Linked DNA regions of Danio rerio. The protein of the gene in region 1 interacts with the protein of each later gene in a pairwise test. Links are inferred from orthologs where the notes say so. Each region holds a gene or a part of one and is shown in the gene's direction. Other genes may lie near its edges. The genes, in order: prkar1aa, si:ch211-3o3.9, akap10 and akap1b.

Region 1 (8,049 bases):
ACAGTGATACCGGTAAATATCCAGAAAATTTCCGGAACGACTTTACCGGTATATTGAAAAAAGCGCTGTTCACACAGGCGAGGATGTTACGGAAATTTTCCGGAAAAGAGCATTCACACATCCATTCCAAAATACCGGTAAATTCTGACATCATTCACTACAAATGAGCTTTGAACGGCTGCGCTTGTATTTGTAAACATTTGACTATAAATTACAAACTCTGTGGATGATCAATATTGTGAACAACTTTCGCAGGATCACTTTCGCATGTCGAGATTCATAATATGTGCGTGTGCAGGCGCTCACAGGCTGTTTCACAGGCACACGCAAAGCTTGAAGGTAAACAAACAACGGCTTATCATAAGCATCTCATCGATGATTATTTACACAGTTGGCATTAAGAAGAACATACAAACGTGATCTGACTAACTTCTAGCAGCTAAATGTGTCTGGAAAAATATTCAAAGGCTTTTATTCTCATGAACCGCGCGGACGTAAACGCGTCTGAATGTTGTGATTGGCTAAAGCAGACGTCTCACGTCAGCACGTTCTAGACGTGCACGCGCTTATTACGGTAATCTTCCTTCTGCATTCACACAGCGCAGCATTCCGGGAAATTGCCGGTAATGTTACAACTTCTCTTTCCGGAAAATAGCCAGAACGAATTTACCGGTATTTTCAAAAAGGACCTGTTCACACATACAACCTTTCCGGAAAATTGCCGGCAATTTTCCGGAAAGGTCTGTATGTGTGAAAGGGGCTAAAGAGACACGTGACGTAAGAGTGCGGTTTCCCCGCCCACCGAATTGACTGACAGCTGCATAAACATGTCTCCATAGTAACGCATATAATAATATCAACAATACAGGACTTGCGCATAGCAACTGAGATTAAAAGATCTGTTCAGCTCTCTGTGATCATCAATCATCACCAAATGTTATTAAGAGTGAGTTTTACAAGTTAAAAAACTTTTTTAAAACAGTGCATGTTTGTAAGAAATTACAGCAATTTTACCATCTTTACTTGTAACCACAGCCGCATGTCAGTACAATTATAAAAGAAGCTTCAATCTCGGTTTGTGGACGTTAAATCAGGTTTATTTTGTACATTAACATTACAGATATCGATATAGCAGTGGATAATAACATGTATCCTCTCACATTCGCATTGCAAAATCAGTGCAAAATTCAACACGAGTGCTGTGTGTGTGTGTGTGTGTGTGTGTGTGTGTGTGTGTGTGTGTGTGTGTGTGTGTGTGTGTGTGTGTGTGTGTGTGTGTGTGTGCGTGTGTACACTTTGTAATAAAACTCTGTGTGACTCATCGAAAGGCTTAAATAAACTCCACAACAAATACATAAAAAATAAGCATCAGTAAAGTTCTTACTGTAGTATTTCTCACAAACATTACGTGAGATCTGCTTCCTTCTTGTCTGTCACTGTGCTGTTTATCTGACTCAGCTGAGATTGTGGCACACTCTGACAAGTTTGGGAATGGTGGGCGGGGAGAACTAGCATTAAAGGCACAGGCAACAAAAACAGCTACAGTTTGTCCAGAGCAGAAAATATCCAGAAAGGTATAATAAATAATCTGATGGTTGTTTTGAGCTGAAACTTTACAGACACATTCTGGAGAAACAAAAGACTCATCTTAAATCTTGAAAAAGTGGTAAAATAGGTGCCCTTTAAAGTTGCACAGTTCCAAAAAAGAAATACATTTATTAACCATTTACTCAATCTCAAGAGGGTAAAGCGTTTATGAGCATCTTACATCTGCTGAACACACACAGACTATTATAGAAGTTATATATGCAAAACACAATTACTATATCACTAATACTTATAGATTCAATGGGTATCGCCAACTGTTTTATAATATTGTACATTTGTATGATTGTAAATCTGTTTTGTAAACTTAACCTAGACACTAAAACAGGACCTGGTTTCACCCTGACACATTTTGCATGGCCTGATTCATAGCATAAGTTCAGGAAATGAAAATATTTTGCAGGATGTCAATTCAGCTGAAGGAAAAGAAAACTTAAATCTAGATTATTAAGGGTGTACTGTAATAACAGTCAATCAGACATTAATTTTAAGGGGGGGTCATATCTTCGCAGTGTTGTGACCCTGCTTGAATTGGCACAATTTAGGCTTGGGTTTATGTACAGAGCCATTAACCTTTTCAGCTGTCACCAGATTCATTCTCAGTGCTAAACACGTGGGTAAGGAATACTGTCCTTCTGTATTTGAATGTCACTCCCGGAGGAGCGTAAAATGTGATTTATACCCTCACGTCATGTGCGGCCGAATGTTCTGAGTTTTCTGGTTGATAACCTCGATCTCCTCTCTAAATACAAAAACAAGCCCTTGCCCTTTAAGGTTGTCAGGGGAAACCGGCTTCCCAGATCGAGGCGCATTGACGTCAATCGTTGTTTGTGATTGGTCATAACCTTTTCCGGTGAGGCGTCCATCCATCCAAGGACTGTGAGAAAATCAGTGTAAACGGAGTAAAGCACGTCGACAAACTCCTCGAAGCGACTCAGGTATGAATATTTAAATACAGCGGCTTTTACTGTAACGTTTGATGATGTCGATACGCGAGCTGACAAGCTCGTAGAGACGTTAATTTAATGCCATCGGCTTCCGTTGTTGTGATAATGTAGTTTGCAAGATGGCGTATTTTGCTGCTTGACAAAACTGGTTACAAAAAACACAGAGCTGGAAGAAGCTGCAGGATTACGCCGATCAACACTTTAACATTGACTCAATGAAGTCTAGTTATATTGGAATATGTTTTCTGGACCAAAATGGTTGTTTTCGCATGACCGAATGGCGTAATGTTGAGAAATGCCTGTGGGGATGCGAACTGCGAATTTTATGAGCTCAGGGGCCCCGACAGGAACCAGGAGCCATAGCATGGCTGTCAAAAATCAACAGTTAGATGAAAGTTCAGTATATATCGCTTTTGTGTGGTGTCATTGTAAGTTAAAGTAGAGATTTTAGACTAGATATGCGATGTAAGATTTATGTTAGTTTGTTTCAGTTTGACAACACGTTTGGAAGCTTGTAACATTTAGTATTAACAGCAACATCACTATCTGCTAGCATGGATTTATGATAGATTTGGTTATGACCTGGATGTTTCACGTGGGGTTTAATCCAGAGGACTTCCACTGTCATGAAAGACATTTTGAAATATAAATAAAAAGACCAGAAAGATGCATATCTATACAGAAAACTTTGAATGTTTTACACATTTAGTTTTTCTTCTTTTTTCACACATTTTTTTAATCTTCTTAATTTACACATTTAACTTCTCTGTGCAGGTAGAAATTCATTAGATGTTAAAAAGTTACAATTTCTCATAAATATTTGCAATCCATATCCTTCTCGTTTATTTGATCTTGTAAGCACTTTACAGCTACACATGTACTAAAGTGCTGTACAGTCAGTAGACATGGGCCGGTGTAAGATTCTGACACTATTATACCCTTAGATGAAAACATCACAGTTTCAAAAACAAAAACTTTTTTTTTCCCCTCTTTGAACACATTTTATTTTGAGAAACATTTTAAGTATTTTGGAGCAGTGAACATGTCAGGATAAATATTATAAATAAATCGTAGACTTCTGCTGTTTTATTAGTTTCAAAAACACAAACTTCTGGACCATTTGAAACACCACTTTTGGGTATCTTTTCTGTTGGAGATACTGCTGTCCTAAAAAACAAACAAAAAAAATTATTAAAGAAATCTTGCATATACCGCAGGAATGGTATAGCAAAAACATTTGACAGGTAAAAAAAAATGACTTTTCCAACTACGGTATACCTTGAAAACAGTTATTGTCCCATGCCTACAACAAACAAATGTATAAAACTAAACTCAATAAGGACTGATTAAAAAAATGGATGCAAACTTTCAATGTAAGTAACTGCTCTGATATACCACAATGGCAGATCTCTAGAAAAAATTTAAATGAGAACTTCACACTGAAAATTAAAATTTAATTATCCTAACAGAAATATTTGAGTTCAACCACTGACTATTAAAAGGAAAGTTAGTATAATTAGCAAATTGCTTTCAGCAAGTCATGAGACAAGTTTTTCTGCAGTAATGTTTTATTTACATGAGAAAATAAAGAGAAAATTAATAATCTGGAGAAGCAAAAGCATCAAACTGAAAAGAGCTCGTGCCATAGATATTATTGTGACGTTGTTTGAGTAACGTTTTGTTAAAATACCAAGTGTATTAATTTGATTTATTTTCATGAGAGTTAAATATGAAGTGCAACAGAATAAATACCTCTCATTCAAGTTTTATTACAGATATGAATCTGAAATTCAACTTCATTATTTGAAATGATGAAAGTTTAAGGCCAAAACTAGTAATACCACCCATATTTTTAAAAACACAGTAGGCACATTCTGGAAAAGGTGGATCTTAATCACTAAAAATGATAATAAATGTTTGATAAAATTGCAGAAAGGTTTGTGTAAGGGTAGGAGAATAGAAAATAGGATTCCCCTATGGATATGTTAATATGACTGTTATATCAAAGTAAAGACATGATAATGACAAAAGATGTATGTATAGTAAGTGTTTTAAAAGATGCCACAAAAATCCAAATTTATTCCCGTATGCTTGATATACGACACAATATTTATATATGGACAGTGGACAGGAAATGAAGTGGGAGAAAGGGGGTGCAGGATTACGAAAGTTCCCTGAGCCATGACTTGGGTTGGAGCGCTGCCAATGAAGCTGCTGACTCCAGATGCCTGATTTTATTAGTGTCTTGAACTGTTTTCTCTGAAAGTCTCAGCAGTACAAAAACAATTGTTATATTGAGTAATTCTGTATTTAAATTCTTTATGCAATGAAAACTCATCATGTTTACTTTAATAAAGCACATTATTATTCGTGTGGTGGATAGTTTATATGTGCCAGTCCAGAGAAAAATTATATTTATTTTTAAAATCTACAGTTAAAATCTGAAAATAATGTTTCACTCAAGAACAATGTTCTGTGTGAAGTTAGTTTGATGGCTTGGCGAGAACACCCTTTAACCACTTCCTTCCAGCTGCACATAAATGGAGCCCAAAACCTTTAATGAGTAATTAGTTACTCAGAAACCGTTAATGTAAAATTAAATGATATATTAGAATTTACAGTGAAATAAAAACTTATTGCATCAAAGGCATTTATTTTCTTTCCTCCATTCAAAGAACATGTGTGACTGTGAACTGGAAATACACTAAAGATGACTTAGTAAAAGTCTCCAAAAATGAAAATTCCCAAAAAAATTACTTGCCAATGTTGTTTCAAACTCATAACTTTACCATACCTAGGACATGTTTGATGAGATGTTTGTTCATAGGTTTGTTTGTCCTTCTATTGACAGGCCATGCAACAACCACTTTCAAGTGCCAAATTTTTAGTATAAAAGTAAAACTTTAGTAAGGTTTACATGAGCTATATTCATATTCTAATGAGGTGATGCAATGCTTTTTGTGTACAAAATAAAATAACTTCTTTCAGTTTCGTCATGTCTACATTCTGACACATGTTGAGCTCCATGAGGAATTTGTTGTGTTGACCTGAGCACAGATATTCTAACAATACAGTGCATCCAGTTGATGCCGTCTACTGTGGAAAGATAATACTGTATAAAACTTTCTTTCTCCCTGTTGTTTTGCATTTCCTCAATGGCAAACCAAGGGAAACCTGTGCAAGTATGTGAAACTGACACCACCAGATGAAAGCTTTAATGTAACTCATTCCCCAGTAAATGATTCTGAGGCTGCTGTTCTTCAGGATTTTAGTTTCCTCATATGACACATCAATTTAACCCTTTTAAACAGTGAGGAAAAAATAAGGTTGGACTATTGGAGTCACATGCTTTAATTATGTTTTTACAACATTTCTGGTTCTTGAAAGTGGCCGTTGTGTAAACTGTGAAAGAACCGAAACCTCTCAGATTTCGTTACAAATATCTTCCACTTGTATTCTGAAGGAGAATGAAAGGGATAGTTCATCCAAACATGACCATTTACTCACCCATTACTTAGCCTCAAGTGCTCACCAGAAAAAAAAAAACTTCCAAAACATCTACTTTTTGTCAGATCTTAATTCTGTACTTCAGATTCCTTGAGTGTCATGAACTGATGTGAATTGCATGTGTCGGGTCAGCAGGTCATCATGGCGTCCAGCAGTACGAGCAGTGAAGAAGAGAGGAGCTTGCGGGAGTGTGAGCGCTACGTGCAGAAGCACAACATCCAGCAGCTGCTGAAGGACTGCATTGTGCAGCTGTGCACCGCCAGGCCTGAAAGACCCATGGCTTACCTCAGAGACTACTTCGAGAAGCTTGAGTTGGTCAGTTGTGTTCTTCAGAGGAAAACCGCATGGGCTTGAACACTTACACATTTTCTATACTCATAAAAAGTAAGTCTCACTTCCACGAATGGTGTTTATGTCAATCAGGAGGAGGCTAAACAGATGGTGAGCCAGCAGAAGTCCAGCTCTCGCTCAGATTCTCGGGAAGATGAGGTCTCTCCTCCTATGAACCCTGTGGTTAAAGGCCGACGGCGCCGTGGTGCCATCAGTGCAGAGGTCTACACTGAGGAGGACGCCACTTCTTATGTCAGAAAGGTAAATAACTTCTTACTTGCTTTTCTGAAAAAAAAAAAAAAACTTGTTTTTGTATGGCATTATTTCAGTATTTCATATCAATAAATCATGACTCAAAATAGGGCAGCACAATATATCATTTCAGTATTGGTAATGTAATGTTGAAGTTTGCAATAGTCTTATGTGATTTTATATGTTGTGATTATAATTGAGCAGGAGCTACAGTTCAGAACACATCAGATTTGTGGGTTCGCTGAGGAGTTTAACCATAATAGAGAGAAAGTTTATCATCTGCCTGTGTTTTTAACACCTGTGACTGTTGGCTCTATTGTATTTATCTATGCTTTTAATCCTAACCTCAACCATGACTTACTTTTTTGCTTGCTTGCCTACTACTTTTTCATTTGTTTATTATATTTTATGCATGATCAATCTAAACTAATTTAATGAATCCAAATAGAGCTATTGAAGTCATCTGATGAAATTTGTACATCAGAAAAATAAAATTTCACAATATCACACAGCCCTATCTCTAATATTTCATAACATTTTTTTTTCAGTTCAGTTGCTTTTTATGTAAGCATTTGTTTGGTGTTTTTTTTCCAGGTCATTCCTAAAGACTACAAAACTATGGCTGCCCTTGCTAAAGCAATTGAAAAGAATGTTCTTTTTGCTCATCTTGACGACAATGAAAGAAGGTAAAACATTTTTTGGTTTTGATTGTTTGGTTTGATTATAGAGAACAACTAATGGAGGATTTCGTTTCATTAAACACTTTTTTTTGCTCTTCGCAGTGACATATTTGACGCCATGTTCTCAGTCACCTACATTGCAGGGGAGACTGTCATTCAGCAAGGTGAGACTTCTTTTGTGGAAACAATGAGGGTGTAATAAAACGTGTAAAGTAGTTAAACTGATGTATTGTGCTTCTCATTTTAGGGGATGAAGGAGATAATTTTTACGTTATTGATCAAGGTGAAATGGATGTAAGTGCAAATTATAATTACGACATTGTTCTTCAAATAAATGATCTGTTTTCAGAAATGTTAATTTTCTTCTAAAATAGTTTTTCTCGAAAGCTTCTGTGTGGTGCTTCAATAATTTCACTTTTATGGGGATAAATGGCTCATTGACTATAAAATGAAATAACTGAACATGAACACAGCCTGAGAAAAATGCTTATTAAAAAAATGTAGACAGTTTGTGAAAGAGAGCGTTTGTGGGTGTTTCCCAGTACTGAGTTGCAGCTGGAAGGGCATCCGCTGCATAAAACATATGCTGGATAAGTTGGCAGTTCATTCCCCTGTGGCAACCCTGGATTTTAATTTTAATTTTAAGGACTTTACAAATGCGAAAATAAAGAACTCTAGCAGTAGACTAGCAGTAATGCAAATTAAATAAAATAATTAATAAAGAAACT
Region 2 (8,082 bases), on another chromosome or scaffold:
GCGATCACTAAACTGTAAACAAGACTTGTCAAGTATTTCCCATCAGTTTCAGTTGGTTTCTCTTGTAATAAGCATATTTTTAACGCGAATCAATATTTCAAATCCATTTATTTATTTGGCATGTATACAAATACCATTCAATGCCACACTTCCATTGCTCAAATAGTCACTGATAGTAAATGACATCAAAAGTGAATAGAATTTTTCTTATTGTACATTATTAAAAATAAAATTCCTTTACTGTAAACCCCAATAATTTAAGGTAACTCAAACCATTTCAGGAAACCGATTGCAACAAAAAAATTGAGTTAAAAAAACTAATCTATATGATTACTGTGAACTTACTCCATTTAAGTTGAAGTAATGAGTAGGCCCATTCGGAATCTAGATAGATATATTATATGAGAGACTTGCTTTGTTTACCAAATAAAGTGGATCTAATTGGATTTGGAATGTAAACATTAAATACAAGTTAAAAAGATATTACTTTTTATTTCATATATTATTCAGATTTTAGTTATGATACTCCCAAAATCATTCAGCATAAATCTGCAGAAATTCTGCGCAGAAATAGCAAAAAATGTCTGCAGATTCCATCTGGCCCTAGTAATGAGGTATTTAATCAACTCATTACCTTCAACACTGAGATCAAAACTCTTCAAATGAGTAGAATTAACTTTCAGTATGTTTTGAGTTCACTACACTCATTTCATTTGACAAAGTTGACACTGTTGGGTTTTACAGTGTAAAACCACTTGACCTCAGTGGTTCCATGAACAACTTTTGACATTTTTGCAAACTATTCCTTCCACAAAATGGAAAGTTATAGTGTAGTTTTTCCCCCACTTTAATTCCTTAGATGGATTTACTCAACATTTACAATCACCTTTTTCAACCAGGATAAGTTTAAAAAATAAATACAAAAGTGCTTGGGTAATGAAACTGAAACTGGTCAATTTAGTGTTGAAGGTTTCATTGTTAAATATGACCAGCCTGGTGGCCAATCTTCATTGACTGCACATTTCACTAGTAAGAGCAGAGTGTGAAAGTATAATCACCGGAGTGATAGCACAGCTTCGCTTAAAATATGCACAACATTATGGGTGACATATCAGATTTCAAAAGTGGCCAAATTGTTGGTGCACGTCTCACTGGTGCATTTGTGACCAAGACAGCAAGAAGGACGAACCACATCCAGTAGGAGTAACTGTAGGGCGCAAAAGGAAGCTGTCCGAAAGGGATGTTTGGCTGCTAACTCGGATTGTATAAAAAAAAACATAAAACCATAGCTACCCAACTCATTGCAGAATTACCAAAACTGTTCGTCGGGACCTCCACAGGATCAATATACATGGCTGGGCTGCTATAGCCAAACCTTTGGTCACTTGTGCCAATGCAAACAGTTTCAGTGGTGCCAGCAGTAGAAAATGTGAAACATGTATTGTTCTCTGATGAGTCCACCTTCACTGTCTTTTCCCACTGTCTTTTCCCACTGTCTTTCCGAGAGAGTTACGGTGTGGAGAAGCCCCAAAGAAGCATACCACCCAGACTATTGTAGAGTGAAGCATGGGGGTGATCAGCGATGGTTTGGGCTGAAATATCATGGCATTCCCTAGGCCGAATGCTTGTGCTTGATGGGTACGTCACTGCCAAGGACTCCCAAACCATTCTGGAGGACCATGTGCACCCAGTGGTTCAAACATTTTATCCTGAAGGTGGTGCCGTGTCTTAGGATGATAATGCACAAATACACACAGTAAGACTGGTGACAGAGTGGTTTGACGAACATAAAAGTAAAATTTAAAATCTCCCATGGCCCTCACAGTCACCATATCTAAATATTATTGAGCCGTTTTGGGGTGTGTTGGAGGAGCAAAATAGGAAATGTTTTCCTCCTAGTGACCGGGCCACTATTCTGCAAGAATGGCTCAAAGTTCCTCTGGCCACTGTGCAGGACTTGTATCTGTCATTGCCAAGATGAATTGATGCTGTATTGGCTGTATTGCTGTATTGATGCTGTATTGGACCATACTAATGAGTTATTGTTGAATTATTATCTAAAACCAATCGTTTAGGTTTCATTGTCCAACCCCTTTGTATAGAAAAAAAGCTTGTGTAAAACAGAATAAACAAACTCTCAAATGTTTAAAACAAGGGGAGGGTGCGTAAATAATTCAGTATCCCTTTATTAAGCACGCAGCATCATACTGAAAACAAAGAAACTGAAAAAATATTTCTTAATCAGTGTTACTTTAACTTACTTTAGAGGGCATAAGGACTCACAACCCTATAACTGAGTCTTGATGAAACCTGAATTATTTCATGTATGTCGATCTCAGCATGTAGTTCTCTCCCTGCGTGGAATCAGAATAATGCATTTTGCTTTCTCATATTTCACTAAAAGCTTTTGAAATGTTGCGAGATACTTCATACCTCTCTCTAGGGTGGGCCCTTGCATTGCATTGAGTTCTGCATATTTGCATTAGGAACAGTCATGTCTGTCCACTAGATGGCGCGATAGTGTTTCAAAATACACCGAGGCGCAACCTGTGTCTGCGTGTATTGCAGTAACCTATTTTACCCAGTTTACAAACAAATGTTTTAGCAAAGAGAGCTGGAAATAAGTGTGCACGTGAAAAGAATTAGGGAATAATTCACTAGCTTTAAATGAAGTCATATGGATGGCCGTTTCTGAATAGATAGAGGGGCTTCAAAAGCAACATGGATTAATGCAGTGTTGAGCTCCATCGCTGTCCTGTCACTGGAATGAAACTGAAACGTTATCATCATTATACGTGGACTCCGGACGCACATGCTGAATTCTGACCCGACTTATCCTACGAGAGCAAGTTCATCAACATGCTTTCTCATTCTCCGGTGAAGCAACCGAGACTGGAGGAAGCAGATTAGTGTGGATTTATCTCAGTTTTCCTTTTAAATAACGTATTTCCACGTGGATGAAATGATTTCTTCGATGTTTTGTCCATTCTGTTGAAGCTTACAGCCTTCAGTCTGAATAGGTATGTACTCACTCTGATTATATCACAGGAATGTGCACTTTTAGCGTTAGATTACAAAACCAGAACATCGTGCATTTTTCCCCCAATCAGAAATAATATTTTGCCTTGACCTTGAGGCTTTCTTGACTCAAATACGAACCGTGAAATTTAAAAACACACCTGAAAACAGAGCTAGAAATGTAACCTCGGTCTTCTCTTGGATATATCGTTCCAATCATATGTAGCCTATATCATGATGTTGTTAAACTGTTGATCACTTTAGATTTCCAGACAGTGACTGTCGGTTGTCCTTGTCTGATGTGCATATGATGTAAACAACGGATTTGAGCGTCAGGCGGAAAGAATAAATACCGAGGAAAATATTAATATAGGCTTTCATATGAACAGATGCCTAAAAACATTTAAAATCCACAATATCCTTCACAGAACGTGATTTATATTAATAAATGAGGCATTATCGATTTGTGTTATACCAGCAAAACGAGTCAACCGGCTTTCGTTGTGAGGAAAGTTAGTCGTTAGCCATCCTCAGGAGCAGCGTTTCTCAGGATAATAAATAGGCTACTGTAATAGACGTCCGATCCGTGAACGAATCATTCTTTTGAGTCGAATCATTTGGACGATCAGTTGAACCAAAATCAAACTGAATCGGCCCGGAGTTAACACCTCATAGACCCATTGAACCGAAGTAAGTGCATTTCAGTGTGAACAAAATGAACCGACGAGTCCAGGAGGAGAATATTAAGATGCGTTTCAAATAAAGCACATTATAAAAAGTCTGTGCTATACATGAACATTTGTTATAACTACATGATAGCTTATTTGTAGATACAACGAGGTAAATTAATAGTATGGTTTCATGCAAATACGAATTGAAGCTTTAAATTGAGCTAAATATGAACTGGGTTACTTTAAACATTATATGCTAATGAATAAAAACATGCACATATCATTAGATATTTGACTTAACTAATAATATCAACATATAGTTGAAGTCAGAATTATTATTGAATTATTAGCCTCCCTGTTTATTTTTCCCCCAATTTCTGTTTAACTGAGAGAAGATTATTTCAAGGCATTTCTAAACATAATAGTTTTAATAACTAATTTCTAATAACTGATTTATTTAATCTTTGCCAAGATGACAGTAAATATTATTTTACTCTATTTTTGAAGACACTTCTATAGAGCTTAAAGTGACATTTAAAGGCTTAACTAGGCCAATCAGGTTAACTAGGCATGTTAGGGTAATTAGGCAAGTTATTGACTAATGATGGTTTGTTCTGTAGACTATATATATATACTACATATATATATAGTTTAAAGGGGCTAATAATTTTGACCTTAAAATGGTTTTAAATTAAAAAACTGCTTTTATTCTAGCTGAAATAAAACAAATAAGACTTTATCTAGAAGAAAAAATATTATCAGGCATACTTTGAAAAATTATCTTGCTCTATTAAACATCATTTGGGAAAAATCTAAAAAGGAAAAAGATTCAAAGGGGGGCAAATAATTCTGACTTCAACTGTATGCCCAGAACCATTGTAAAGTGCGATCCATAGATTCCATCATAAGTTTTTTTTTTTTTTTGCAGCTAATAAAACAAATAATTAGAATGTTAAAAATCATTAAGTTTTAATTTTTAATAAGAGGAGGTGCTCTATTTATAGCATAAAATTAAGCATATCCTCTATAGCACTATTTAGACAAGGGGTGATCAAACTCGGTCCAGGAAGGCCAGCGTCCTGTAAAGTTTGGTTCCAACCCCAATCAGACCCACATGGGCTAACTAATCAAGGTCTTAGGCTTTCAACATCCATGCAGGTGTGTTGAGGCAAGAGCTAAAATCTGCAGGACAGCGGCCCTCCAGGTGTTTGTTTTTTGTACGTGGATTACTCAATTAGCTGGATTTGGTTATTGACGATTTGACCAAATCCAGGATTGTTTCGTTCTTCAAAACTCATCCGAAAGTTGTTGTCATAGCAACAGTTCTGGTAGCTCAAACCTGCTCAGGAGCAGGCTCATTTCATTTAGGAGAAGATCGGGTCAGTTCTAGCTAGGATAATACTGAAAATATGTATTGAATTCTGATGTTTTCTTACAGTAGTAGTTATGTTCACTTGGGAAAATAGTATATATATATATATATATATATATATATATATATATATATATATATATATATATATATATATATATATATATATATATGTAAACGTATGCAATCTGGACTACGACACAAAGTGGTTCAAAGAGAAAATTTATTGATATTAACTTTTTAGATACAAACACGTACAATTGCTTTAGTACAATTTGTGTATGATAATAAACATGCACAATATGCAACTTATACATCCAGTTATTCCTTACAGTGATTAAGAAACCGGCTACTATAATACTACTAAGGCTACTATAATAAAGAAAATCCCCTCTAAAACTAATAATAAATACCCTTGACAACTAATACTAATAATAAATACTCTTGACAGATAAAAGTGTAACACCTGTAGCCCACAACAAGGTTGAAAAGTTATTGCATATCATATTTAACAAATCGTTTCTTATGAATTTTTATGTAATTTTGCTCACATGAATAATTGAATATTAATCAGATGATGTCATTACGCTGCTGTGCCGTCTGCCAATCTTTGCATGTTTTAAAAATTCTATTCATTTTTTAAAATATTGTTTGTTCATCTTTTAATACCATTGACGGTTTTCACATCAGTGAAATACCAGAAAAGGAAATGTGTTTAAAGATGTGATAAATGGCATGGATCATGTAAAATGTAAATGGGGCCCTACAGGACCCAAGAATCTGGGCTACGCCCCTGGTCACGTCACAATTGTCAGATTCACATGATGCCATAATGACAAATTCTAATGCAAGTACTCTTTTAGAGTGCTTTATTTGAATAATTGTGGACAGTACCATCTAAACATTAGTGTGCATCAGGCAAACAGACAGAGACTTCTGAAACAATGGGTTTGGTTCACTTCTAGTTTAACTCCGGCGTGGTGCTACGGAAATATAAACCAGAACAAAAACACAGAAATTAATTAAAAACAGGACATGATGTCAAGATTTGACAACAAAGAGACAGAGTGCTCAAGCATACCTGTTCAATTCATATGTCAGAAGCAGATCTCTTTGCAGCAGATCTTTGACATTTATGTCCAAATGAAGAATTTTTTGTACTGTTTTTACTTTCTTTTATTAGATCCTCCTAACTTCTGAGCGAATAATAAAAAGTAACTAACACTTCAACAAGCTTTCAAATTGTAAAATGGAAATGTATAATTTTCAACTTTGGTCCAAATCAAACAAATTTAGAAAACTGAACTACAAGCATGAACACAAAGTATTTTGAAAGCAGTCAGGCTTGCTGACTTATTTCAGGTTGTAGTAGGCTCATGCATCTAAGCACATGCAATGTTTTCTATACTGCCTCATTGCTGTGAAGATGAAGTTATTACAGTGTCATGGACAAGGTTGCCAAGAAGACAATGTGAAAAATAGTCTTCATGAAAACGTATATTTAGCCAGGCAAAGACAAGCAATAACTCACTGCAACCCTGCATCCTTTTCACACAGGGCAAGTGTAAGGTGGCTATGTGGACGCTATACATCATGGCTGACCATCTGGATTGTCTCAACAACATGCTATACAGAAAGACATCCACATCGTAGCCTCTCGCTCTTACAAAACAAAAGCCTACAAACTGCCAACCAAGGGAATATAACCTCTGTATCACGCCATCTTCGCATCTCTTCCCCTCACTGCTTTCAAACCAATGCTACATTATTTATATCATGGGATGCATGAAATCCAAGCGCCGCGACCCCACTCAGAACTCCGACTCATCGGAGAAAGTGGATGGGAAGCCAGGAAAGCATGGAGAGAAAGCCGTTTTAGTGTTTTCAGAGATCGGCTCTATGGAGGACTCAGTGCGGATCAATCCGGTGCTGCTGGACTATGCCCAGAGGCTCTCGGAGGAAATTGTGGCCCGGGCAGTACAGCAGTGGGCGGAAGTGGACAGCCGATACAGTGACATCCCCTACATTGAGTGTGACGTGCCATAATGTTATACCGAGTGGAATAAAAATGGACTGGTCCAGCTCACATCTCACATGTATGTGAAAGAGCGCAATCAGATGGACAAATGCAGGCCAGAGAAGAACAGTGTCATTTCTGGAAGAGATTTTTTTTACCCATAAGGATTTACATTAAATATTCAGACATTTTTCTTATTTTCATGCATTAAAGTCCGCAAGAAATGAAAATTTACAACATTTATTTTGCTAGGACAAATGGTTATTCTTTTAGTCAGCAATTAATCCGTGCAAGATAGTCCCCTGAAAAAAAAAAAGGTTTGTATTGTAATCTTCAATCAAAGTCTGACCATTTTCTTAAACACATCCCTCTTGTTAGTTTGCTACAAGGGAATGATGTTTAAAATGGATGCCCTGACTCTACTCATTATGACATTTTATAATTGGATCTACACCGCCTGACAAAAGACTTGTTGCTTATCCAAGTTTTAGGAACAACTAATAATAACTTGACTTCTAGTTGATTATTTGGTATCAGAAGTGGCTTATATGAAAGACAACGACCTCTAGATTACGCTTCTTTTATCAAGATTCTTTGGATTCATCTTCAATGCCGCCTCCTGCATCTTACCCCAGACATGCTCAATTATGTTCATGTCTGGTGACTGGGCTGGCCAATCCTGGAGCACCTTGACCTTCTTTGCTTTCAGTAACTTTGCTATGTAGGCTGAAGTATGAGAACGAGCACTATCCTGCTGAAGAATTTGCCCCTTTCCTGTGCTTTGTAATGTAATGGGCAGCACAAATGTCTTGATACCTTAGGCTGATGCCATCCTCTCTGCAGATCTCTTGCACTCCCCCATACTGAATTTAACCCCAAATCATGATTTTTCCTTCACCAAATTTGACAGATTTTTCTGAGAATCTTGGGTCTATACGTGTTCCAAAAGGTCTTCTGCAGTAATTGTGATTATTGGGATGCAGTTCAACAGATGATTCATCAGA
Region 3 (7,596 bases), on another chromosome or scaffold:
AGGCGCATCAACGAAGTATTGAGCATTATTAAATACTTCTTTACATGTGATTTTTCAGGTTTTTTTTTTTTAAATAAATTTGCAACAATTTCAGAAAATCTTTTTTCACATTGTCATTATTGGTTATTATATATATAATAAGGCTGTAACATAAAAATGTGGAAAAACTGAAGCATTATGAATACTAGAGCTGCACGATTTTGGCTAAAATGAGAATCGCGATTATTTTTTTGTTTTTGTTTTTTTGCTTAAAATTAAGATCACGATCTTCTCACGATTCTGTATATGTGAAATAAAGGTATGGTAAAAACAAACATATGGCACAACCTCGATAATAATATTATGTGTAGGTCTACTGGTTTCTATAAATAATTCTATTCTACTTATAATAATTCTGATGTTGAATTATTATGTTTGAGATATATGCTTGCAATCTGTCATATTAGACTGTTTTATTCACTGGTAAAATCAGACATTTGCCATTATCAGATTATATTCAACAATATATAGGCTAGAGTAGTTACACTGACATTGTAAACATTTATTTTTATGCACAACTGTGGGTTCGCTATAAAAGAAATAACAAATCAAATGCTTGTCGTAATCATAACTCTAATATGCGATATGATTATTTAAATGAAGTGCACACTTTCGGTTTCGTTTTGACTGGTAAGTGCTTGTTCATACTTCGCACACGGCTCCCAAACGATCACTCTGTGCCACAAACTGAATATTATTTACAACTGTATTACCTGTTACTCACAACATATGCAGGTTCTGTTCACTAAAGTAGGCGCGCGAGCATCTATCATTAAGTAGAGCGCGCGCGCCCTTTCTGTGATAACAGCTCACGTCACGTGTGATTTCCCGATCGCCAAAACATCATTATATGAAGACAAAAAATGACATTTTTAGGTGAATTTTACCTTATAAATACAGTATGTGACTCATTCAACATCATTTGGAGGTGTCCGTGTCACTGAGCAACGTTTGTGAAACAATGAAAAGACTCGCCTTTTCTTCTCTCCTGAATTTGAAAATATGATTGGCAGAATCGTAGAAATGCTGGATTAAGATTGTTTAGGGGGTCGAATCGAGATCGCAATCTTTTAACGATTAATTGTGCAGCTCTAATGAATACTTTCTGGATGCACTGTACATACACATACATTCATTCATTCATTTTCTTTTCAGCTTAGTCCCTTTATTAATCTGGGGTCACCACAGCAGAATGAACTATTAACTCATCCAGCATATGTTTTACGCAGCGGAGACCCTTTCAGCTGCAACTAATCACTTGGAAACATACAAATACAATATAAAGCAAACAATGGTATAATAGTAACAGGTGATACAAGTTACAGCTATATAGACCAAATATTCATATCAGCTTTCTTCAGAAATCCTACAAAGGGATTCCATATTTTGAAAAACTTTATATATGAATATTTTTAAGCCAAAAGATGAGACAATTCTTGCAACCATTGTTTAAATTGGTTAAATATAAATGTTACTATGTTTAATCCTCATACTGTAAATGTCATCTTCAGCATTATCATCTAGCACAGAAGGTCTTGTCTGAGTTACAATGACTCCTCTTTTACATGTAAAGAAAAGCAACATTGAAACGTATTTGTTGACAAACCAGTGTTGCGAGGTGACTTTAACAAGCACAATGCCTTTAACGTCATATTTTAACACCTACATAAAGATGGATAGTATTTTACCGGCTCTTTTGCGTTGTGTTACTGGATAGTTCACCTCCTAGTTAAATGTATGTTAAACCCAATCTTCTGGTTTTGAAAGAGGAGGGTGTGGCCTTTCTTTCGACACATTCAAAGGAGGTCCCGGCTCTATTAAAAGATTTGTTTTGTTTGTTGATTTATGGAACAGAGTTTGCGCTGCTGCTGTGTATTAGAAATAGATGGCTGGGTGTGATCTGGAGATGCCACAAGTCTGAATTCGAGGCATCAATGGTGTTCACTTGTACAGAATGTGTTTGTTTAGCTATTGTAGTGTTGATATTTTATGCCAGGCCAAGTTTTGAATATTATGATTATTTATGTTCGTTAGACTGTTGTTATATTATTGTTTATTATATTTATTTATGTGTTGTATTTAATTATTTATTATTTTTAACCTTTTAATGTGCGTTTTGTTATTGGGAATTTATTGTGTTATGTTTTGTTCAGTGTTGTGTGTTTGGTTATTTTAATAATTTGTTCTTTTGGGGGGTCTGGGTTTGATTATGTTTTGTTTTTAATAGTAGTGTTTTTTACTTTCTTTTGTTTTGCTTGTTTATTTGTTATTTACATTTTTTTTTGTTTTTGTTTTTAAATAGTTTCTATAGGTAGTGTTTTTTCATCTTTTATCTTGTTTTGCTTGTTCTTTAGTTTTTTGTGTGTTGTTTTTATTGGTAGTGTTTTTATTTTGTTTTTTATATACTATTTATTTATTTTATTTTTTGTTTGTGTTTTGTTTTTAACTTGTTGTCTTTAACATGCTGGTTGCTGGTAGTGTTATTTAATTTTGTTTTGTTTTTTATTTTAAGGTATTTTTTGTTTTTAACTTGTTTTTATTGGGATTTTTTTCTTTTGTTTTGCTTGTTCTTTTTATTTGATTTTATGGTATTTTTTGTTTATGTTTTGTTTTAAACTTGTTTTTATAGGTAGTGTTTTTTATTTAGTTTTGCTTATTTTGTTAATGTTTTATGTTTTGACTTGAATTTAGCATTCTGATTATGTTATGAACTGAATTTTTTTTTTTCATTTTTCATGGTGTTTTGAGTGTATTTTGGTTATCATTTTTTTTTATACTTGATATTTTCTTATTTTTAGTTTTATATTAAATTTTTTATGTTCTATTGTTATTTTCATTGGGTTCTGTTTTGGTTTCAGTTTTTATGAGTACATTTTGCACTACACAAATATGGCAGCTGTTTGCTACAAAGTCCAAGCCTTGTCTGGTTTTTGCTTCTTCAAAAGTGCTTTTCCACTGCATGATATGGTACGGTACAGTTTGTTATTGGCTTGGTGCGCTTTGGTTTGCATCTTTATTGCAGTTTAGTACTGTGTGGGGTTATCACTATAGTTGTGCCGCCTCTACTACAATGATTTACTGTAACCCCCATCCATCCTGCGACTAAGAGGAGGAATGTCTGGACCTCTTTTACTGAATATGATGCTGCCATTTTAGGCATCTTTTTATTTTAAAGGTATTTTTTGTTTATGTTTTGTTTTTAACTTGTTTTTATTAATAGTTTATTTTACTTTATTTTGTTTCGTATATTTTGTTAATGTTTTGTGTTTTGACTTTATTAGATGTTTGTTTTTAGAATTCATGTTATTTTATGCTATGAACTTAATATTTTTTTCATAGTGTTTTGTGTATATTATGAGATTTATTTTATATATTTTTATATATTTTTATTATTGTTATATTTATTGGCTTCTGTTTTGGTTTCAGTTTTTGAGTACATTTTGCACTACATAAATAAGGCAGCTATTTGCTACCAGTCCAAACCTTATCTGGTTGTTGCTTCTTTGAAACTGCTTTTCCACTGCATGCTACGGTTCTGTAAAATTCGTCATTGGCTTGGCTCACTTTGATTTTATTTTGCTTGTCTCAGATTGCATCTCCATTACTGTTTAGTACTGCTTTAAGTGTGTCGTTATCACTATAGTTGTGCCACCTCTACTTCCATGACTTACTGAAAACGTTTTTTTTTTTTTTTCCTTCATCCCATTCCCATTCGTCCTGCAACTAAGTATGGGTCGAATATAAGATTCTGACAGTATGATAATCTTGGATAAAAATATCACGGTATTGTGATTACTGCTCTAAAATATGTTTTTTTTAGCTGTCTGTAAAAAACTAAAATTTTTGTTGTGTGAATGCAAAATATTTTATTTTAACTTACATTTGACATATTTTGGAACTAAATATTTGGAGGCTAAATAATTGAAACGTCTGCTATCTTCATTAGTGTCAAAAACACAGATTTATTTACAACATGAAAAGGCATCTTTCTTTTCTTTGGATATAAAGTAAGCCACTGCACTGTTCAGACATATCTACTGTATATAGGATGTTGGTTTTCAGGTGTAAAAAGATTAGTTAAAATATGTGAAATAATATTACACACAGTATATCGTAGAAACTGTATAACAGAACATTTTTGTGATTTTAAAACCTTGACATTTCCAAACCCTGGTAAACCTAGTAACTGGTTATCATTCCATATCTACAACTAACAAGGGGAATGTCTGAACCTTTTTTTGTAACATAATGCTACCATTTCAGGCAGCTTTTTCTTCAAGTAGCATTAAACCAGCTATACAGTGCGATCCAAAAGCACAGCAGTGACTGCAGTTGACTGTTTAAATATGTCAGGATTCGTGTATCATGTCGCAAACGTAATCACGTTGGTTGTGACCATTTTCTCCGACCAATCGGTCATCAGCAGTGTGTATAGTGTCACATTTTGGTAATGGTACGGCTCGCTTAAAACCACACCTACGGTGGTACTAACAAAGCACCAAGTTAAATACTAGTTACATAGTAACATAGTGGGAATCCTACCAAACCGGACCATGTCATGCAGTAGAAAAGCCCTTCAAGTTTGTTATCTCTGAATTGATGAATAAGTCTTAAGCACCGGTTTTAAAATGTGTCCTTTTTTTTCAGGTCGCTCAAGTGTCAACTATCAGATTCAAGAGACTCGATCTCGGCTTTCCAAAACTGTAGACCAGATCTTGCGGGACAATGTGGCCCTGCCCTATTTCATTCAGTTCATGGAGACGCGCTCAGCCGAGCACCTGGTCCGCTTCTGGCTCGAGGCCGAAAGCTTTCGCTCCACCAGCTGGTCGCGGGTTAGGGCGCACAGCCTCAACTCAGTCAAACACAGCACCTTGGCTGAGCCCGCAGCTGCCCTGGGATCACCAGACTCGCCTGACTCCCCAAACCACTCCAGCAGACCTTTAAATCTGGATGAGGGAGATGAAGAGGATGCTTTCTCCTCTAGGACGTCCTCCAGACCACACACCCCCAGTCCCCAGGACACTAACTCTCACAGTGGGGCTCTGATGAGCCACAGAGACTCTGTTAGCTTTGATGGGACGGCTCAGCCCGGGACTCTTCAATTGCAGCCTGCGCTCCGATCAGAAACACCCACCAGACAGACCTCGTCCAGGACGGGCACACCAGTCAAAGGCCTTCGTGAGCTCTCCGACAAACTTATGAAGAGTGAGTATCATTTTTGACAACCTCATTAACTTTCCACTGAGGATGGTTGCTGCGCGATATATATATTCTGTGCTTTAATATTGTATTTTAAGATCTCGTGAAATTAAAATGAAACATTTTAGGTCTGTTAGTTCTGGGGAAATTTATATGCTAGTGCGTTTCAAAACAGTGACAAAATCTGTGTTTAGAAAACATAAACCTGATATAATCATCTAAAACTTGGAGTTTATCACTTCCACCCACAGATATTTACATTAGATGTCACGTACGCTAGAAATGCGTCAATAGAACAGCCATTTTAGTACAGGGTAGGGCTCCTTTGAAATGAATGTGGAGGACTGGCCATTGAGAGCCTGTCGTATATTCACATATATACATATATCTATGATCAGCATACCTGTCAACATTGGGATGTGAAAATAAGGGATATGCCCACCATAATAAGGGATTTCCCCAACAACCCCCCCCCCCCCCCCCCAAATAAAATCCCCAAATTACTAAATATGTTCATTCATATGTTCAATGTTTCATTGTAAATAAACAGTTAAATAGTCATGTAATATGTTTTAAAATTATTAACAAAAGAGAAATAAATATATAGATTAGCAGCAAATACATTAGCAAACAGTTCAGCTTATTAAAATTAATAGCTATTATAATGACATAGAGTCAAACTATTAAATCTCATTAGCCATTTCTCCACTGTATAACTTATACATTCTGATTAAAGAACAACGAAGGAATCTCTCATTTATTAAGTTTTTTTTTATTACATTGAATAACAGGTGTCACTTTAAAAATGCACACATCTAACGTTATAATGAAAGCATTCGCCTGCTTTCCCTACATTTTATGCTTATTTAAGGCCAAGATCGACATCCTTATATGTTATTATTATTATTAATTATGTGTGTATGTCTGTTTAAACACGCACCCAAAAGCCAGACTTTTTTCTCTCCGCTTCAAATCGCATGTACAGAATCTGTTTGGGAAACAGCATCTGTTTATCACTATGGAGCACGTCAGCTGACAGTCATGCACCATTATATGACTGTTTTGAGGATTGTATAGGATTGGCGACGGCACCTCCAATCAAAAGGAAATGGAATCGCGCCATTTTTAGTATTTATTTAAAAGTGTTTTCATTCCTAAACAAAGCGAAAGCACAGAAGACTCACGTTTTAAAGCATGGGGCAACCCCTGGTGGTTCGGCGGTATGGGTTGCGTATAGGGAGGCTCAGCTGTTTAGAGAAAGACCGAAAATATGGGATAAATACGGGAAAATACCTTTACTGGATGATAGCTGGATAGAACAGTAAAATACGGGAGAATCCCGGGAAAAACGGGAGGGTTGACAGGTAGGAGTTTTCCTAGTGGTAAGTAAACAAATATTTTTTTAAATTACGTAAAAAATGCAGTTTGATAACTCTGACATTTAAATAACGTCTTAGCTGAATATAAAAACACAGTATTTAAGCTTTACAGTTTGCAGCACATTAGTAATTTTCCCCTAGCCTGCATTTTAATCATCACTTTCAACAGAGAAACCCTAATATCTGTAATTCTGTACTTAACTCCAATGGGTTTTTCCATGCTTAGTGGCCTTTTACCATTACAACATATTCCTTTTGTATCGGACGATGACTTTTAATATCCATACGGCATTGGTTTTATAGCGCAGGCTTGGTAAATGATCCCATTTAGCATCTTGGCAGTGGTGCAAAATGAGCAGAAGTCAGGAGTTGAGTGTTCATTAATGGCTAATACAAAGAAGCTCCAGGCTGTAAAAGCAGTGAATGGAAAAAGCCAGTTGAGCCGAAAGACATCAAATCAGCTTAGAAGGAGAGTCAGATCCTATCAGCCCATGGCTTCTCTGCCGAGAGCCTTCGCTGTCTTAAAAGGGAACAAGTCTTTGTCCACTTCACTGCGTTTTATAAGGCTGGTGCTAGGTTTTCAGAGCACCTCAGATGGATTTTATGAAAAGTGCTTCAACATTTAAAACATGCTCTGATGAGATTCCTCATCTCATAGACCCCCATTAAACTCAAACACTGTTAACATCAGTCTTGCTTCTAATGGCTGATCAGCAGTCGTTCCATCTGTATTTGCCCTGAAATAGCCTCTGATGTGATATTATTTAGACAACATTTCAGTAAATAAAAATGTAACATTGTTCTATAGTTTTGTCAGTACCCATGAAATTTTTTTATTAAATTTAATTTATGTTTATTTCTATAGCGCTTTTACAATGTAAATTGTATCAAAGCAGCTTAACATGAAAGTTCTAGTAAATTGAAAGCGTGTCAGTCCAGTTTTTTAGAGTTGAAGTTCAGTTCAAGTCCAAACACTGAA
Region 4 (7,596 bases), on another chromosome or scaffold:
CTATCCGCTATCCATAGAGACCGAAAACACGTTAGCCTCAGCGAGTAACTTATCACTAAATCTGAGTTCAACCCTTGTTTAAGTGTTGCTTGTCAATTATTGTGCCCTAATTTATCAAATACATAATAGTGCATCATTATTACATAGTAGACTTTGACGTACAAATCAGCTTGAACAGCTATAACGTTAACGTTAGCTGGTATTGGGGGGGATTGCTAGGTTTTAGATTAGCTATGACATTTGATTTTCTGAATTGGTTATCAGGCTAATAGTTAACCGAGCTACATGCTCCACAAACCATCTCAAGCTGATTAGACCAGCAAGCATTTGGTTTGTTTATGGCCCAATCCATCAAGGACTCCAAATTATCTCTATTTTTCCATTAGGGGATTGTCATTTGGCTATTTTAAAGGTTCAATTCATAATCTAACTTTGAGCTGTGGTAATGTGTGTGGTGGTTTTGGAGAATGACATGGAAACATATGCTCTCCTGCTTTGTTCTCATGCCTTTGCGCGTTGAAGTCAACTCACACCTTCATTCAGCTGAATTATGTACCGAAGCCACATGGACGAGCGGTTTCTGTGAACTCATGGATAATTCAGGGCCGCTCTGAAGAACGAGCACTCGGTGGAGGGTTACCCGGTGAATTCGGATTAAACTGGAGATACTTGAAGCGGTCAGTACTTTGGACTAAATAGCTGCATGGGGTTGCAATTCATTCAGCGGCCTACCACGCGCACTGTAGGTCAATATCACCTCGCTAACTGGCTATGTTATGCGCGTCCGCTTTTATTTAATCCCATGACTTATGTTTATTGTGTCATTGCTGTCGGGAAATTAGCAAGCAGCCGCTTTTATTTAGCTCATTTCTCTCGTTAGCCCTTATAGCAGCTGCAGCAGCAATGGACGGTTAGCATGAGTGCTAACACGCGCAGCATTTATTGCAACCTCTCAGACATCTGGCGCAATGTGTGTGGGGACGTGCACTTTCATGCACAATTATATCATTGGCTTTAGCTGCATTGGCAGTGTGATATAACGCACGGAGAACGTCACTTTCGTGTGTCTCGGTGTAATTCTCCACCAGCAGCCGGTGCGCGTAACTGTTACCTCACGCGCTGGAGTGATCGGAGGTTCGCTTTTGTATTCTGAATGCTGCAGCACTAGTAAGCCGCTTACTTGCTATCAATGGGTTCGTAGGTAACGTGTTGCGCGAATGACTGGCTACGGTGCCCTCTCCGTTATCTATACACCTCCCAAGGTCGAACGGCCACCGTGCAGCACGCGCTCGGTTCTCTTTTCTATGGTCCGCTCGCGCACGCGCTCAGGCCATGATATGACAGCGAGCGTTAAACTCAGCAAGCATCTATTTAACCTCGTGCTGAAGGTGAACACTGGACTCAAACTGTTTCAGGAAGACTTCACTGAGCAGAAACTACTGTAATGTGACTACGTGGTAACATGAAACGTGCTCAAGACTGATAGCGCTAACAGACAGTGTAGTATTAATATTATGACTATTGTGTTCTCTGACCAACCTCCATATCTGGTACTATAACAGATTCTTTCAGAAGTACATGAGATATAGTTATTCACGTTTATTGGCAAGTACTGCTCGTCTTGCAAAATTGATGCTTGACAAAGACAACAGAAAAATTGGGCTGAACTAGAATGAGCTAAACTCATAATAATTAAAATGTATAAAATATGAACACCTTGGGATAATAAAAATATAAAACGAACTACATTTGTGCAAAATATATTTGTAGAAATTGTGACATTTGATGAATATATAAATAGACACATAATCTATCCACAAATAAATAATCTGAGTGTCAATTTAAATGCTATATTAATATAGTTTTTATGGCATTTTCTTTTTATTTTAGTGATTTGGAGGTTTTGTAACCCTTAAGCACACTTACTGCTTAAGTTCATGTACAGCTATCTTGTTTTACTAGTGTTGTTTCTTGTACAGTACATCTAAAAGGAGTTCTGCTTCACTGTATTTTGCAACCTTCTACAGATGCAACACCTTTATATACAGTCTAGGGGTGCTTTTACACACAATGCACATACAATTGGGAAATTCTTGGGTTTAAAAAGTTGTGTGTATAGACCAGTGTTATCAAAATTATTCCAGTAACTTCAAACAGATACACAAATACAATTAAAATGCTATAATATGCATGCCAAGCGGGTAGTTGATGTCTCTTTTATTTGTGGTTATGAAGTATTCGTATGATCGCATCATTATGATAGACATAACATGAAGACTCAGTTTTAGATGCATTTAACATTGTACTTTAACAGCTGCCCTCGCTTACTTCTCTCAATTACTCATTTACCCTCCACTTGTGCCAACCCCATTTGCATTTGTGATGATGAATGTAAATTGGTAGTTATCCTCTTTGGTTTGGTTACCAAGAATTTTCACAATTTATTGTTAGCAAGTTTTTAGCAACAGATGATAACCTAAGGTTTCAAACAAATGGAGGGTGATAATTGATGACAAATTTCATGTTTTTTTAATTACTTTTTAATGATAAATGTAGTCAAAATATGTTTGTATATTAAGATTCAACTGATAGACGTGAAAGTACTTTTCATTTACTGACAATGAATAAGTTAGCAGGTTCAGGTTGCTTTTTGAAACATCTGGAAGCTGACGAGAAACGGAAACCCCTTTATCTTTGGTAACTATGTACAGGAGTGAATGGGAGGGACTTGTGCATGATGTCTTCTTCCTGTTCTGGAGACTGGGAAATGCTGCTCCCATGATGGAAAGGCATGCATGAATGTCCTTTTTTTAACTCTGAAAGGATGCCCCTCCCAGCCAATAGCAAAGAGGTAGACATGTCACGTAGCTCCCTGCAGCCTCTGAGGTTGAATATCAGCCATGTGATATTGTCCCTGAAGTTTCTGCATGGCTGGCCAGGACTCTCCTGTCTCTCACTGTAAAGTAACAAGGCAGAATATACTGTAAACACTGTAGTACATAGGTGCAGAAGGTTTGATGCATATTATATAATAATCAATGTATGGATCTATGCCCATGCATGTTGTAGATCCATGATGAGGTGGTACTTCTCAAAATTTTGCACAGACTTGTGAACAAGACAAATGATTGTTGATCAGGGTGAAATTTATCCAGGATGAGGATGACTCACAGATTCTTTCACTTCCCAAAGGCAGTGCAATTTTAACTAGATACAAAACATTTTCTTTTTACATGCCTCCCTGGAATTCTTTCAGATTCTGATGGTCTGTGGTCAGATATTTCCTCTAGTTTACAGCTAAACATTCTGTGCCAAGTTATCTTTTGAATCACTCTGGCTGCTTCTTGCTAAATAAATGTAATTTCAACTCAAATCAGTATTTTGTGTCAATTTATTAATTATATTTAGTATCAATATGGAAAAAGAATCCCCTACGAAAAATCTTTTTTGTACTTTAATTTATTACTGAGGTTTGCTATTTGAGGCAAATTTAGGCAGTTCAGTTGTTTTCTTCCTCAGTTGTCTTTGTATAAACGTTGAGTTACTGATAAACTTTAACTGTGTTTGAAATAAATAAATACATTATAACATTAATAATAAGATTTAATAATTGATGTTAATGTGTTCATTATATTGCATCGTATCACAGCATTGTTATTTGTTACATATTGCATGGACAAAATTAGATTAATATCCGTTCCTTGTGTTGATCTGCAGGTGTAGCTGCTAGGGTCCAACGGAGATGCCACTGAGGTTCCGGTCCTTTGTTCCGTATACGCTTCCCGGAGTGCTGGCGCTCATAGGCTGGTGGTGGTACATCTCCCGCAAAAAAGAGCGAATCACCAGCCACGACAGTGAGGAGGACTCACTCATGGGATTGCGGACCTCCTCTGGTGAGGGCAGCAATGGGATGGTCGACAAAAGCTGCCCTGCATCCAGCAGCACACACCGTAAAACCAGCCAAGACAGAGTCAAGGCCAAAGAGCACAGGCCTGTTGAGCAGGAAGTGGTAGCGGAGATTCACACACCAGTGCTAAAAGCCACTGCAGGAGAGGCTCTTGGCACCCCTCCAGTTGTCTTAGCAAGTGGACAACTAAGCGCTCCTCACAGCGGTACAAAATCAGTCCCCCCCAAAAGCCACCCAGAGACCACTAGCCAGACAACTCCTGTGTCATCTTCAACCCCCACAAAAACAGTTGAGGAAACCCCTCATCACAAAGGACCAGATGTCGCAACTGATGCCAGACCATCAAGCCAGTTACCGCCAGCAAGCACTGATTCAATCAAGAAGCAGGTTGAAAACCAAACACTAACTAGCCAGCGTTCTGTAGAGCTAGCCAAAGCAGAGCGACCCGAACCTGAGGGAGAGGTGGCCACTGAAAGCTTAGCAACAACTTGTGCTCAAAATCTGCAGGCTGACATTTCTAAAGATGAACTGGCCTCCACTATATCTTCAACAGAGAGTGAAGCTGTCCTGCTGGAGACCTGCAGCCCAAAAACACCCTTAAATTTGACCTCATTTCCCAACTCCACCAGCACACCCCTCTCAGAAAGCTCCACTGGGGCTCAGCATCATGAGAACGGAGACCTGGGCCTGCCGGCTGAGACTAGTCCAGACTTGCAGGAGCTTCAACGTCTCGCGGCGGGGCTGATCACTGAGGTTATCTCAGCAGCCACCCAGGAGGTCATGGCAGTCAGCAGCTGTGAGTCCCGGTACAGCAAAGGTTCAGAAGCATCCGACGACAGCACACTGGCTCTAAATGGTAAAGAGGAATCTAGTCAACTTCCAAAAAGTGCAGAGTCCCGGGCGGCACAGATAGCAGAAGAGATTGTCAATGGTTGTCTAGCACCTTCGCTCTGGAAGATGCCGGAGAATGAAAAAGATCGAGGGTTGTTGTCTGTGCCGTCTGGAGAACAGTTGGAATCCACACCAACTCTGGCCAAGTTGCAGGCGGAGGAAGCTCTAGTGGAAGACTCCGGATGTAGCACGTGCCAGTCCGAGGATGGCGTCAGCAGCGAGGACCTTCATAGCACAGGGTTGTCTTCGACAGTATCTGAGAGCAAAGAGGACCTCATTCAAATTTCAGGGACTTGTAAGGCCACAGAGGGTCAAGAAGATAGACTGCACGAAAGTCTTGCTCTGATTGCCCCTCAGGAGTCACCCCTTACTGCAGAAAATGTGGCTACGGTTTGTGAGGCAGCACGGTTAAATGGAACAGGCCTTAGGAATGGTGCCGCCAGTGAGGTAGACGCTGACCAATCTGGAGGTGAGTTCTTGAGATTTTAACACAAAGATTTGACCTCAAATCAAGAATCAACCCCAAAAAATAATTATTTTGCCATTTTGAACCTGTAGAATGGAAATTCAGTTACATTTCAGTGAAGTTTGAGCTTTTCCTGATATTGCACACTCCATGTAAACTCCACCTGGGCAGGTTGTTTAATTGTGGCTTGTTTAACAGTGTATTATGTGGTATGTTTATTTCAAATTCATTCAAAGCCTTAGAATAGCTTGTAATTCACTTTGCTTAGTTTGCAGCTTGTCAGTTGTAAAGGAATTTTCTGCAAATGTTTTCAACCAAAATTAAGCTAATAATTTTATTGTTCACAAAGAAGACCACTGTTTTCAGCTGGCTTAGTTTATTTAACTCTAACCAGTGACAATACTCATATTGATGTTTGGCCAAATGTAGTACTTCAAAAAGCCTGAGTCAAGGGTACCTCAAACTGTGAATAGACTCTTTGGAAACCTCAGATGCTCAAGTTCCAAAACAGAGTATGTTACATGAGTACAATCACATGTGCACGGCTGTTTTTACTGCTCCCTGCTATACCTTACATGGTTATCAGCAGTCTCTTGCGTTTTTTTTTATTTTATTTTTTTAATTATCTGCTTCAGAGCAGGGGCCTCATGTATCAACGCTGCGTACGCACAAAAACTTTGCGTACGCCAGGTTTCACGCTCAGAATCGCTCACGTTTGGATTTACTAACAATGAACTGAACGTGGGAATGTGCGCAGCTTCACGGCAGCTTTCTGGCAGGCGTATGCACATTTTTTGTGCGTGTCTGTTTTATTTCCATTGGCGACTCCTAGAGGCAGTTGTGTTAAATTCCTCTCTACAAAGTGTCTGAGCCATGCAATGGCAGCTGTATGAGATGGGTTCAGCAGGTATATAAGGTTTCCATACCATACATTTGACCAGCTAAACATTAAAGCACAATTTGCAGCAGTCGCCTGTTTTCCCAATGTAATCTGAGCGATCTACCGCACGCACATTGCTATAAAGACACTATCTGAAGATGAATTTGCATGCGTGAATCAGAAACATTTCCATTCAATAAATTTGCAAATAAAATATGATGCTTATTGATATGAACTTATTGATGATTCCTACTTGTCTTTCTCGTGATAAATAGTTGGCAAAATCTGATATGTAGCGGGGGAAAAAACAAGAGTTCATCAGACGCTGGAATCGAGCCGAGTTCATGCTCGAACGTATCAATTCATGATCAAATGCGTCTTACGAGCGCGCCACTGAGACTGTTAAGCGTACTGCAACATTTTACAGATATAAACCAGACTATGTCTTTTTTTTTTAATGCACTCAGTGCGATATGTTCAGACCCAACTGTGTTGACCGCATCAGCTAAACTCTCCCACTCTATTTTTTTCTTTTGTTGTTAATTCCGGAGAACAAACTTGCAAATAACACCGCTTTTCTCCGGTCTTCCTCCGAAAGCAGCACCTCCAATTCACATTCTGTTCAAAGTTTCTCTTTTTGCTTGATTTTGTCTTTGCTTTTTCGTTGGGTTTTTCCATTAGCATAGTCATTAGCATATTCATATGGGGGAGGAGGCAGGGAGGGGTTTTGTGCTCGTGCATGTTGCGCTCAGTTTCACGTTCATTCAGATGTACAAAAGAATATGCGTGAGATTTGGCAGTGTTTCATACATCTGAAATTTTTTCTGCGTACGCACATTTACAGCTTTGTGTGTACGCAATGTTTTAGTATGATTTCCACGCAAGTCTTCGTACATGAGGCCCCAGGTGTTGGAAATGGGCAGTAGTAAGTTTGTTATTGGTTCTTCATCAATAGTTATAAACAAGAACATAACAATACTGGGTCGGTGACATCCAATGTTTGTTTTTACGGCCTGGGGCATTTCTCTGCTGATTTGATGACAGAAAAACTGAGTTATTTGCTTAAACACTTGTAAGGTGTTGTCACACCAGTCACTGCTTGCTGATCCTCCTGTCATATTGTGAGGTTTGTAGACTTGCTCTGATCCATTTCTAAAGGTCTCATTCTTAATACCTTGTAGATAGAGAGTTTCAAAGGAATTTGTCATGATATACTTTTGCATCTTGCGTGTTATACGTTCAGGGGTGTGAAACCTTGCACAAATAATCTCTGGAGTAAAAAGTGTCCAATTATATCTTTTAAAATCCTACATACCAAAAGGCATTTTGAAGTGGTCAGTTTTGTGCCCTTTGGTTTGCAATGAATTGCAATTCTAAGGTGGATTAATCCAGTCTGGAACACAGCCAGTCTTCAGCCCATCAACATTTGAATGAAAGGAGAAAGTGTAGCAA

The links.
Region 2: the proteins of prkar1aa (region 1) and si:ch211-3o3.9 interact in binary tests that used the Homo sapiens proteins (3 or more experiments, as listed by UniProt). The two-hybrid records come from large-scale screens. The link is inferred for Danio rerio from reciprocal best matches to the Homo sapiens genes PRKAR1A and AKAP19.
Region 3: the proteins of prkar1aa (region 1) and akap10 interact in a two-hybrid assay, tested with the Homo sapiens proteins (3 studies listed by BioGRID and IntAct). The link is inferred for Danio rerio from reciprocal best matches to the Homo sapiens genes PRKAR1A and AKAP10.
Region 4: the proteins of prkar1aa (region 1) and akap1b interact in a two-hybrid assay, tested with the Homo sapiens proteins (2 studies listed by BioGRID and IntAct). The link is inferred for Danio rerio from reciprocal best matches to the Homo sapiens genes PRKAR1A and AKAP1.

Annotation. Positions count from the first base shown.
Region 1 is NC_133178.1:35,125,588-35,133,636, reverse strand, and holds the start of prkar1aa (cAMP-dependent protein kinase type I-alpha regulatory subunit), read left to right. Parts: upstream 1-2,445; 5' UTR 2,446-2,543; intron 2,544-6,191; exon of another isoform or gene 6,192-6,194; 5' UTR 6,195-6,200; coding exon 6,201-6,374; intron 6,375-6,482; coding exon 6,483-6,650; intron 6,651-7,235; coding exon 7,236-7,327; intron 7,328-7,423; coding exon 7,424-7,485; intron 7,486-7,568; coding exon 7,569-7,615; intron 7,616-8,049. UniProt on the Homo sapiens protein: Regulatory subunit of the cAMP-dependent protein kinases involved in cAMP signaling in cells.
Region 2 is NC_133184.1:42,659,059-42,667,140, reverse strand, and holds si:ch211-3o3.9 (small membrane A-kinase anchor protein), read left to right. Parts: upstream 1-2,570; 5' UTR 2,571-3,020; intron 3,021-6,618; 5' UTR 6,619-6,837; coding exon 6,838-7,107; 3' UTR 7,108-7,591; downstream 7,592-8,082.
Region 3 is NC_133180.1:67,931,466-67,939,061, forward strand, and holds part of akap10 (A-kinase anchor protein 10, mitochondrial), read left to right. Parts: intron 1-4,686; coding exon 4,687-5,244; intron 5,245-7,596. UniProt on the Homo sapiens protein: Differentially targeted protein that binds to type I and II regulatory subunits of protein kinase A and anchors them to the mitochondria or the plasma membrane.
Region 4 is NC_133190.1:33,449,558-33,457,153, reverse strand, and holds part of akap1b (A kinase (PRKA) anchor protein 1b), read left to right. Parts: exon of another isoform or gene 1-677; intron 678-3,717; 5' UTR 3,718-3,742; coding exon 3,743-5,267; intron 5,268-7,596.